Cricetulus griseus: one gene and its partners. The protein of the gene in region 1 purifies or fractionates together with the protein of each later gene. This does not show direct contact. Links are inferred from orthologs where the notes say so. Each region holds a gene or a part of one and is shown in the gene's direction. Other genes may lie near its edges.

The links.
Region 2: the proteins of Cttnbp2nl (region 1) and Stk26 purify together in Homo sapiens (affinity purification with mass spectrometry; 4 studies listed by BioGRID and IntAct, with this or other methods). This does not show direct contact. The link is inferred for Cricetulus griseus from reciprocal best matches to the Homo sapiens genes CTTNBP2NL and STK26.
Region 3: the proteins of Cttnbp2nl (region 1) and Stk24 purify together in Homo sapiens (affinity purification with mass spectrometry; 3 studies listed by BioGRID and IntAct, with this or other methods). This does not show direct contact. The link is inferred for Cricetulus griseus from reciprocal best matches to the Homo sapiens genes CTTNBP2NL and STK24.

The regions. Positions count from the first base shown.
Region 1 is NW_023276806.1:51,977,918-51,981,640, forward strand, and holds part of Cttnbp2nl (CTTNBP2 N-terminal-like protein), read left to right. Parts: intron 1-2,287; coding exon 2,288-2,395; intron 2,396-3,723. UniProt on the Homo sapiens protein: Regulates lamellipodial actin dynamics in a CTTN-dependent manner. Associates with core striatin-interacting phosphatase and kinase (STRIPAK) complex to form CTTNBP2NL-STRIPAK complexes.
Region 2 is NC_048604.1:19,104,084-19,108,234, reverse strand, and holds the start of Stk26 (serine/threonine-protein kinase 26), read left to right. Parts: upstream 1-1,351; coding exon 1,352-1,394; intron 1,395-1,479; coding exon 1,480-1,553; intron 1,554-2,374; coding exon 2,375-2,844; intron 2,845-2,960; coding exon 2,961-3,111; intron 3,112-4,151. UniProt on the Homo sapiens protein: Serine/threonine-protein kinase that acts as a mediator of cell growth. Modulates apoptosis. In association with STK24 negatively regulates Golgi reorientation in polarized cell migration upon RHO activation.
Region 3 is NW_023276807.1:271,171,561-271,175,283, reverse strand, and holds part of Stk24 (serine/threonine-protein kinase 24), read left to right. Parts: intron 1-1,094; coding exon 1,095-1,280; intron 1,281-3,058; coding exon 3,059-3,204; intron 3,205-3,723. UniProt on the Homo sapiens protein: Serine/threonine-protein kinase that acts on both serine and threonine residues and promotes apoptosis in response to stress stimuli and caspase activation.

The DNA.
Region 1 (3,723 bases):
AAAAGAAAAAGTCAAAAACAATTGAAAATTCCTTGGTATACTGTTTCAAGTGTAAAATGTTAAGTAGCATTAAATTTTTGAAACCTAGTAATTTGCCTGTTTGTTTGTCTGGTTTCTTGAGACAGGATCTCATGTAGCCCAGGCTGGCCTCAGCTCTCACTGTATCACCAAGGATAACCTTTACTATGCATGTGGGAAGGTTTTGTTACCATGCCCAACAAAGTACCTGTCTGCTCTTGGGTCTGTAACCCAAGCAGGGCATTAAAATTGTCAGAATCAGTTGGTACTTACAGGTCTATAATTAGAGAAAGCTGATAGTCCTGTCTGAATTTGCTGAAGATTCTCAGTGTCTACCCTTCACTGTCTGTGGCTATTAACTAACCCCTTCACCACTGGGAAAGATTAGGATTTGAACAACAGGTGATGCTGTCACACTGCTTGTAATGGAAGGAGAGTTCCTCAGTCACATCTCCTTGCCCAGCCCCCAGCATGCAAAGGTAGCTTTATCTTTGTTGTTTTGAAACAAGGATTTGTGGATTCGTGGAGCTCCCGTTAGGCTTGAACTCACTACGTAGGTGAAGATGACCTTTCAACTGTACCTCCCCAAGCACTGAGATGACAGATGTGTCTTCCCATACCCAGTTTAAGGAAGAGTCTTTATCTCATCTTCTGAAAATTCACTCTGAACCAGCCTCCCACAAGCACCTGCTACTTCCAGGTTCCGGCTCTTTGGGATCCTGAGGGTAAAATGGCTTCCTCTGCCTTACTGATGACTACCTCTCCTCAAACTATTTTCCCACTTCAGAATGTTATTAAAGCTGCCTATCTGGGCCTGGAGAGTGGCTGAGCAGTGAAGAACTCCCAAAGGGCCCAGGTTCAGTTACTATCACACCCACATCAGACAGCTTACAAGCACCTGTAACTGCAGCTCCATAGACTCCGATGCCTCCATGGGCAACCACACTCACGTAGTGCACACACTCTCTCACACATAAATAAATAAATCTTATAAAAAAATCTTTCTCCCCTACTAAAGCCTCTCCTGTCTCTGAGACTTTGTAGTTTCTTTCATTCCTTTCTGTAATTTTAAAGGGCTCTCAAGAGAGGATAGGTAAAACATGGCTACATGAGGTAGCTGACAGTGCTGTGCCCTGGAGGTCTGGGCTGAGCCACCTCTGAAAAAAAAGCTACTGAGTAATAAATACATCCCCATCTAGGATATTGTGTGGTTTGAGCAAAATTACATGGTTAGTGTCCTCTTCTGCTTGTTTTTTCCTTGAAACTGGTGTGGATCCTTGAGCACCAGGATAAAATTCCAAATCATTAAGAGTTTTGTGAAAAAAATCACCACTTAGGATCCCAATAATTGAGCCTTCTGCACGTAGGATGAAGTAGGAGTCTTCCCTGTTTTATCTGGGTATACCAAAATAGATATTATTGCTGGCCGTTGGTAGCACAAGCCTTTAATCCTAACATTCAGGAGGCAGAGGCAGGTGGATCTCTGTGAGTTTGAAGGCAGCCTGGTCTACAGAGTGAGTTCCAGGACAGGCTCCAAAAGCCACAGAGAAACCCTGTCTTTAAAAACCAAAAGAAAGGGGGCTGGAGAGATGGCTCAGAAGTTGAGAGCACCGACTGCTCTTCCAGAGGTCATGAGTTCAATTCCCAGCAACCACATGGTGGCTCACAACCATCTATTATGAGATCTGGTGCCCTCTTCTGGTGTGCAGATATACATGGAAGCAGAATGTTGTACACATAATAAATAAATAAATAAATAAATAAATAAATAAATAAATAAATAAATAAAATCTTTTAAAAAAAACAACTGAAAGAAAGGAAGGAAGGAAGAGAAAGAAATAGGTATTATTAGTTTAGTAAGGAACAGGACAACCCACTTGAGATGTTTAATTTCAATGGTAGTATTGAGAAGAACACCTCAGCCTTGTACACACACACACACACACACACACACACACACCAAAGTAGGTCTCTAGTCGCACCAAACTGCATATGATTCCCCAGACTTCTGCTAGTTCTCAAATCTTCTCAACCCCCACAGCTAATCAGTTACTCTCTTGTCTCTGCATTCTTCTGCACATACTTCAGCAAAGTAAATATCTTGTTTGCTAGCACATAGCTTGCATGTCTTTCACCCTGCTAGACAGCATGCTCCTTGACGGCCCTGGCTGGATTTCATTTATTTATTTAATCTGGAACCCTCAAGTGTTGAGTGGTATAAATGTGATTACTTGGTATTTGAAAGTGAATGTTTTAAAATCCTTTACAGGTGATCCTTGACCTTGAAGAAGAAAGACAGAGGCATGCGCAGGACACCGCTGAAGGAGATGATGTCACCTACATGCTGGAGAAAGAGAGGGAGAGACTGACACAGCAGGTAACTCAAGCAGAAAGATCATGATGGCACTTGCCTAAAGTGACATTTCTTAGGGTCATTGTCAGTGTACCAAGTTACATTATAAGTCTTCAAAAAGAAGATAGAATGTTCCATGTATATCATGTCTTATTTCCAATGTCGTCTTTTTTTAAACATAGATTACTTGGGGGTTGGAGAGATGGCTTAGTGGTTAAGAACACACAGTTTGGTTCCCCGACATCCATATCAGATGGCTGACAACTCCCTGTAACTCCATCTCTAGGGGATCTGATGCCCTCCTCTCATCTGCAATGACAGGGGCACTCACATACACTTAGCTCCCTAGATGCACCCACAAGTACATACAATTTTAAAGATAAAACAAACAGATCATTCAGTGGAACTGTCATTTATAGCACATTCTTTAGAGGTCTCTGATTTTCAGGATTTTTTGTTGTTTCACAATCTACAGTAACAATGTGGCCTATCGCAAACCAATATGTCCAAAGCAAAGATTACAGGACACGCAACAACCCTTTATTCCTATAGTACACAGTGGTATTTTCAGTCTTTTAGATCAGGCTAGCTTTGAACTCACACTTTTTTTTTTTTTTTAAAGTATGATCATGGCTAACCAAATTGATTTCCCCATCCATTAATGTATCTCATTTTGAAAATCCCTGCTTAGAAGGGTTCAGTTCACCCTGTTTCCTCTCATTCAGAGTCTGGAGTCTGTGTGATTATGTTAGACAGTTAGACAAACTACATTTATGTAGATCCAAGGATGGTGGTGCAAGCCTCTAATCCTAGCAGTTGGAAGGAGGATTTCAAGTTCAAAGCAAGTCTCAGAGTAAGACCTTGTCTAATGAAAACAGCAACAAAAGGAAGATTTAAGTGCAGCTACTTAAGTTTTTTTTTTTTTTTTTTTTTTTTTTTTTTTTTAGATCAGAGAAAATGATTGCTGGAACTTTTAAGTTTGATTTTCAGCGGCATCCATCCCCAGATCTAGCTTACATAGTGTTCTGTTATTTGTTTTGGCTGATTCTATGTTCTCTCCACATACCTAAAACACAATGGTGCATCATATTCCCGCTGTTCACCCTGAGGCAGTTAGGAACTCAAATGCCTCCCAAGTCATCAAGAAATGATTAAATCATAGTATGTGGGGGTTCTGTGTGGGATGTTTTCATACTTCAAAAATACTAATTAACCTAAGCACCGTGGCGTTCCTGCTAATACCGAGTGTGCACCAGAGAGCAGCTAGCGAGGGCACTCTACATGATCATAATTTTCAGTGCATCCTTTTGTTTTCCTACTCTAATCAAGATGTGTGGTGGCTTCTTTTTTTC
Region 2 (4,151 bases), on another chromosome or scaffold:
CATAAGCAAATCCATAAGGAACCCCAAATAAATCCCCAAATGATCTTTATCAATAGTAGCAATAACGAATGGTTTATTCAAGATGAACATACCTGAAATAAAGGTGCTCATCGGTGCCATTCAGAAACTGTCTCAGTAGACTAGATGTCAAAGTTTAGTGTTAATTCTTCAATATTACTGCATCATTCTAGACTTGCATGATGTCAGGAAAGGTATTTCTCTGTTATGATTAGAGTTCACTTGTTTACTAGAACTATAAAACATTCTCTTAGGTAGTTGTAAAATTTAAGTAGCTGGAAACAACACATTAGGCCAAAATTGAATGGTATATAAAAATATATTAAAAATATATAAATATATATAAAAACATATAAAAAGTGATCAAAACTTCAAGGTTAACCAAGAGCAGTGTCTATGAGTTTAGCCTGATAATAAATATACTGTTCCGCCAGGCAGTGGTGGTGCACGCCTTTAATATATATATATTCCTCAGAATACACATACCAACATCAGAAAAGAATTCTAAGGAAATGCATTTGCTCAATTAACAAATATATATTGAGGACCTACTTGGTGCCACAGAACATTGCAGGGCTCTGGGAATACTGCAGTAAACAACAACAAGCAAGATCACTGTCAGAGAGTTACCATTCTTCTTGAATAACTTTCACAGAAGAGAAGCTGTATCTCTGGCCTCAAGCACATAGTAAGGTTGGTGGTCAAATAAAAGGCATGCAATGTCAGAAATACAAAGAAGGATCAACAGTGTAAGCATTGCTTCCATGTACACATGGTAGGATTCTGAATGTGAGCACAGAGCAACTATGAAAATTGGATGGTGGGTCTAAGAAAGTTCAATGGACCTACCTGAGGTGGGTCTTTAATGATGGAGCCTGATTCACATTACTAAGAATCACTGTTGGTCTCATCTCATCGTCTCAGACCTTGTTAACAGTGCAAATTCTTGGGCTAACTCCAGACTTGCAGGTTCAAAATCTTCACTTTGAAAGGATCCTCTGAACCCAGCACAGTGGCACACGCCTTCAGTCCCAACACTCAGGAGGCAGAGGTAGGTGGATCTCTGTGAGGTTGAGGCCAGCCTGGTCTATGTAGGGAGTTCCAGTCTAGGCAGGGACCTTGTCTCCAAAGCTAGACAAACAAATATTGTGGGACCATGTCTTCAAAAACAGACAAACAAATAAACAAGCAAACCCCTTTGAGATCTTTATGGGCATTAAAGTTTAAGTGGCATTGCATGCTTCTGAGTAGGCTAGTATAAAGTGTGTGCTGGGCTAGTGGGAAATAGACACTAGATTTGGTAGAAATAGAGAACACTTAGACTTGAAGCACTATGACTAAGGAAGACGCAATGTTGTCCTTTAATAACGTTCCAAGTAAACAGAAACCATATAGAAGGTAGTTAAGTAGTCAGGAGGTACCTAGATTGGAATTCTCTGATGTATCACTTTTTAATTGCAGTATTTGAGTCAAATGTTTACTTGGCTGAGCCTTTTGCTCTGTTTGCTCAATGGGGAGAAAGCAGTGTGACCCAGGTGAGCTCTTGTCACAGTAACTCACTACAAAACACAAAGCCTGAATTTAGGGCTGTCTGGCCCAAAGAAAATAAAATATTAGTAATAACCATGTTGATAAGAACCAGATTCTTCTCTTGGAGAAAACAGACACTCAACAAATGCTATTCTTCCTTTATAATTAATTGAGAATAGCAATTGCTGAGTGTCTACTTGGAGCTTCCCCCACAGTGTGTTGGGTGCATAGGTTCGGAACAAACTGCAAAGGTGTGTTCTCATGTTAGACTGGCTCTTGCCTATTATTAGCATTAGCCCTTTCTGTGTACACAAAGGTGCTTCCTTGAGATTCCTGTGACTGCTATTATTATCACTGTCACTGTTGTTATTGGGTCCCCCCAAAAGGGCTTGCCTTGTTCCTGGAGTTGAGTTTAAATTGGAAAAGGGCAAAGGGTTGCAGAAGTCATGGCTATGTATGCTAAGTATAACTATCTGTGCTGCCAAAGATCTAATCTCATGCTCCTTGCCCCTGTTATCCTCCTTAATTTTTTTGCCAATGGGCGATCCGTTCCAATTTGCCGCTCTTTTAAACACGCAGAAATTGTGAGAAGTTTCAGCCACTCCATTCCTTAACTGATAGCCTAAGGTAGGGACAGGTTCATGATAAAGTGACTTGAGGCATATCTAGGGGTAAGAAAGTTGAAAAGCAAGAGGACAGGAGCCTAAGGCGCTGAAGGAGCAGGTGTCTGGCTCGGAGGCCCCACCCTCGGCCAGGTGGGGGAGCCAAGCAAAACTTTTTCAACTACAGACCTCTGTGAGGCTACACGCCTCTGTGAGGTACACAGCCTCCCCAGCCTGTCTGCAACGTGGCCGGGTTCATCCGGGTCGCCCTCATATCCCCCACGCGACTCCAGCTCTCGCACACTCTTCTATTTTTCTCCAGGCCCAGTTGTATTCCAAGTTTCTTGATCCCAGGCTTCTGCTGCTTTTTACAAATCCGGAGAGTCTCCTGCTTCTCTGACTCCAGCTACTTTAGCCAAACCCTTTTGCAGCCTGAAGCTTCAGCTCCCCAGACACCGCCCGGCAGCGGGGTGGAGGCAGGGCCAAGTGCGGAACCGCCCCCAACCTCCTCCCAGGCTAAGCGATCGGGCGGGTTGCTGGGGCGCCTCCACCTCCTCTTCCTAAAGCGGCGAGGCGCAGCCGAGCGGCATCACTGGAGCCCAGGTCCCAGCCACTGCCGCACGAACAGCCCTGCATTCAGGAAGAGGAGCAGCAACCCAGTTGGCCACGACCTCGGCAGGCGGGTGTCTGAGAGGTAAACTGAGTCCCGGGGAGCAGTGCCGCGAACCTCTCACCTCCCAGCAAGGGGGTTGGAGGAGTGGAGGCTGCAAGCCTCCAGCCCACTAACTCCACTTCTCTGCGTCCTTCCAGGCCCGGATCGAGAAGCCTGGGAGAGCAACCGAGCTACCCCTGTAGGAGGAGCCAGTCTGAGCCGAAGGCGCCACCACCGCAGAAGCAGCGCGAAGTAGCAATCGCCTCCATGGCCCACTCACCGGTGGCTGTCCAAGTGCCCGGGATGCAGGTGAGAAAGCCCAGGCCTCCTCTGCCACCCACGTGACTGCTCCAGAGCCCCGCTCTGGGCACCAGAGACCAGGGGCAGCCACCGGGCAAACCTGAAGGTAGGGCCAGATCTCTCTCCAGGTGACCCCGAAGTAAAGCTCGAGGTGTTTCCTGGTGTCTGGGCTAAGAAGGTGCTTTGCGCGGGAGAGATTGGGGCGACTGGGGCGCGACAGTAAATGGGGGTTGGGGTTGGCGGGGAGGGGTGCACATATAAAAATAGGCCAGAACCTTAGGCACCTGTACTTGTTGGCTTATTGATCATGCCATGGTTGAGGACTGGGGGGGGGGGGGTGGCGGTGTTGTTCCAGAACTTAACCTAGATGAGATGAAGGGATCTTGGGATGTGTGGGCTAAAACACCCAAGCGGTGCCCCCCACACGGCACACACACAGAAGTTGGGGCGGAGCGACACCAGGAGTGGTGGTGGCATTGAATTGGGCTCTTCCTGTGTGCAAAGAGAGAAGAGTGAGATGACTTCTTTTCCCTTTCAGTGCTACTTAAAGCAAACTTGTATCTCGCTCCCCCACCTGTACAGGGGAAAGTGCTGGAAAGAATGCAGGGTCCCATTCTGAGTACCTAAGGGATGACTTCCCAGGCCCATCTCTTCATCTCTCTCATAAGGTGTATTAAGCATTTGTCCAGTCCAAAGGACTACTGAGTGGGATCCAAGTTCCTATTCGATGTCTATGCAGTTCTGCCCCATTATGGTATCATTTATTAGGGAAAAATCTATGTCAACAGACTTTTTACACATCTTGTTTTTTTTTAAACCCACTATAACATTTTAAACCATTTACATTTGACCCCCACCACCTGGTAGCATAAACAACTCCTTTATGAAGAATAGATCAGAGGCTAAAAACACTGCCACTGGTTTTATGTGATCTTTTAAATATGCTAAACCAACCAAAGAAACTTTTTTTCAAGTTAGAAAATGTCTGGAACATTGCATAACTTATGTTTCTAGTAGGACTCAAAACTCTGTGGATTGGAGATTCATTT
Region 3 (3,723 bases), on another chromosome or scaffold:
GCCCTGCTCACTGTAGAGCAGCCCTAAGACTGCTGTGTGTTCCCAGTCTATCTGATGTGTCTTTCCCGGTGTGTTCTCAGCCTGGGTCCCGTGGACTCTGACATGAGACTCAGACTCAGCACTGGGGAGCCCTGCTGCCTAAGCCCATGTACCAATCACTTCAGTCAGTGCACAGTGGGTTCCTTAAATGGTGACTGTAGTGAAGGGCATTCAGCAGTCTTAGGAAAAGGCTGTCAGTAACTCAAACCAAACGAAACACACAACACAACAGGCCACAAGACTTAGTGACTTATTTTATAATGTTGTATGACGACACATAGACGAAGTCTGTACGGAAGTGCTAGTAGTGATTTTGGTTGTGTGGTGATGTGTTAATGTTTCCCATGTCCATGTGTGACCACACTTCATAGCAAACATTCTGCATGGCTGAATGCAGGTAGAGCGTTTGCTTAGCATGCGTGAGGCCCTACGTCCAATTCCCAGCACTGCCAAAGCAATCAAACAAAACAAAGCTGCTGTAAGTTCTGGGCACAGTGGTCGGCCCTTTACATATCCTTCTGTAACCACCTCCCTCTTGAAAAGCAAGGGGGCGGGGCTCAGGGAAGCAATTCTCTAATGTTGTAAGACTACAGAGCTGGTGTTGAGACCAAGGTTCCCTCTGGATCTGAACAGCTGTGCCTGGCACCAGGCGCTGCTCAAGGGGTGACTCCCAAGCAGCTCCGCCTGCTCGTCGGCTCCTGTGAACACTGCTGCAAGGGCTGTACTGAGCACACCTCACAGGCGCGATGCCTACCATAGACGCGGCCAGTCAGGAGCTATATAGGGCGGGGCATTTGCTTCAACAGATCTGCCCACTGTGTTTTGTCTTGAAATTATGCCAAGGGCTTGTGTTTCTTCTTAGTTCAAGATGATTTTCTTTTTCAGAACCTGAGATTGAAACAGACCCACAGACAGACAGACAGACAGTCTCTCTCTCTCTCTCTCTCTCTCTCTCTCTCTCTCTCTCTCCTCTCTCTCTCTCTCTCTCTCTCTCTCTCTCTCCTCTCTCTCTCTCTCTCTCTCTCCATGTCTTAAAGATGCTTTGGTCCTTGCAGGCAGACATCTGGTCCCTCGGCATCACAGCGATAGAACTGGCCAAAGGAGAGCCTCCACATTCCGAGCTGCACCCCATGAAGGTGTTATTCCTCATCCCAAAGAACAACCCTCCCACACTGGAAGGAAACTACAGCAAGCCCCTCAAGGAGTTTGTGGAGGCCTGTTTGAATAAGGAGCCCAGCTTTGTGAGTGTACCCCGTCTCTGTGGTCTCAGCTGGTTTGAATTTGTTCTTTTGGGGTTGTCCCAGTCACTGTTAGCCACTGTCTCCATGAGCTCATACATCTTTGCAAATGAGTTTGATTTCTTGGAATTACAGAGACTTTTGTTGTTGCCATTTTACCTTTTAGGGATTTAAGATGTAATTATTTTGTTTAGAGTTTTCTAATGTCTTACACCTCATTGAACCTGGAGAATATTCTCTGTAGAACTGGAGTAGGGTCGGCAAGTTTTTAGTGCTCAGAGAGAAACAGGCTGTAAACTGGAAAACTACTTTGGTAATGGCAGAGGCTGGCCTGAAGATAATGGCAGTAAATATTGTTTCCAGTTGTCGTGTGCTGTGAGGCAGACAAATCAGACACATGGGACCTGCCCATCTCTGCCTCCTCTCCCTGGCCCTCTGAGTTTATTCAGCGGTGGCAGAGCCCACGCACCAGCCACATTGAGCTTTGCCTCCTTTTCCTGATAACTGGGGCTTTCCTTTGAAAGCAGCATGTAATTTGTGTCACGTGTAGCATCCTGTGTCCACGTTTTGGGTTTCTTTGAGCAGAGTTAGCTGGCAGCAATGCTTCATTGAACCCTAAGAATATCCATGAGGGGTCCCCTTGGCCTCTTGTCTGAAAATGGTGAGAAAAGCTGAGTTTTCCAAGAGTAGTTCCCCCGTCGGTACCAGCTCAGGCAATGGAATTGATCATATCGTGGCTGCAGATTGAGGTCAGCCTATCTGTCAGCATTTGGTCACTGGGGTGGGTGTGGTCTTGCATGAAGTCCACTTGTTTGATTGCTCAAGGCACAGGGTAGCATCCACAGTATGTTAGCATCCGGGAAGAGACCAAGTGTGTACACATCTTCTAAAGCATGTCAGTGCTCATTTATTACTAGGGTACACCCCTCCATCTTGGCTTGTCCCTGGACCTTCAGACAAGAAGGTCTGCAAAGCTGAGAATAGGAGCACTTGGGACGATGGAGAAGGGGAGGCCACTGGGGTTCTCAGAAATCATGGCTAGAGGAACATGCTGTTCTTACAAGAGGAAAACGTTGATTATCTGGAGCAGGTGGGACTATGGTGTGCCTGGCTGGCACCTCTGTGCTTTTGCTGTCTGTCCCTGGTTGGGCCACTCTGTGTTGAGGGAGCTTTGTGCCAGTAGATGGGAAACCACTGGCTAACCTCTGGGTGTGCCATTCAGTTGGAGTTGTGCCACGTCCAGGTGGTGATAGAGTTGTCGGCCCTTGACACTGGGGTAGGGATAGGTTCACACACTGACTTTTCTAGTTGGGAATGCTGGTGACCGACCAGTTGTGTATCTCCTGACTCCTGCCCCAACCTGTTCTAGATGAGTCTAATTACTGAGTTGGTTTTAATTTGTGGTATTAGCCTAACACTGTAGGAAGTCATGAAGAGCATGTATTTCCCTTAGTCAGCACTTGTCATGAGGTGCCATGTAAAATAGGAGCTACTCTCTCAGGCAGTGCCATGGAAACCAGGAGAAGCTCTCTCGGGCAGTACTCACAAAGCTCTCCCTCTGTGGAGTTACTGTAGAAGGGCTCTTGCTTCAACCTAATGGTTCTGATAGAATGTTTTTGTCCATGTTGGGAACTGTCACATTTACCTTGTGCCTGTAGTCTTGGGCATAGGTGTGGAGTGACTGATCTGGTGTTTTAGCCCAGTGGTCTGGCTGCCCGGGTGGAATAGAGTAGGATGAAGAAGACACTTCTCACGATTATTTGGACGCTTGTGTTTTCCAGAGACCCACCGCCAAGGAATTACTGAGGCACAAGTTCATAATCCGCAATGCAAAGAAAACGTCCTACCTGACCGAGCTCATCGACAGGTACAAGAGGTGGAAGGCGGAGCAGAGCCGTGACGACTCCAGCTCGGAGGACTCGGATGTGTAAGCGGCCCCGCCCCACAGGCTGGAGCTACCAGTCCTTCCTGATGGACTGTGTGTGCATGCGAGTGTCTGTGCTTTGGGCTGTGTCCCTTCCTTTTGGACTTACGCTGAGTTTTGTGTTGTACACGTGCCTTGTTTGAGGTTCTTTGTCCCCGCACTGCCATGGGGTTTGAGTGAGTTCTGCATAATTAGAAGCATAGGCAGAGTTGTGGCAATAGCTTCCTTCTCTTCATTACCCCTGACGATACCCCCCTCTAAAGGTACTGACAGACAGTCCTCGTATGCAGTGCTGAAGAGAAAAGAAAGAATGCTTTGGCGACTGGTCGGTGTTGCTCTGTGTGGGGCAGTTACTCACTGAAAGCGGGTTCCCCTAAGCACCACGTTGTGCCGACTGGCGTGTGAAGTGACTGGCACCCTCCAAACAGGAGCTAGAGGGAGGGTGGCCTGGCTGTCTTGTAAGAGTGAAAGGAGGCACCTGGAGGCCCCATAGCCATTAGCTAGCATCGTGTCTCCATGCCA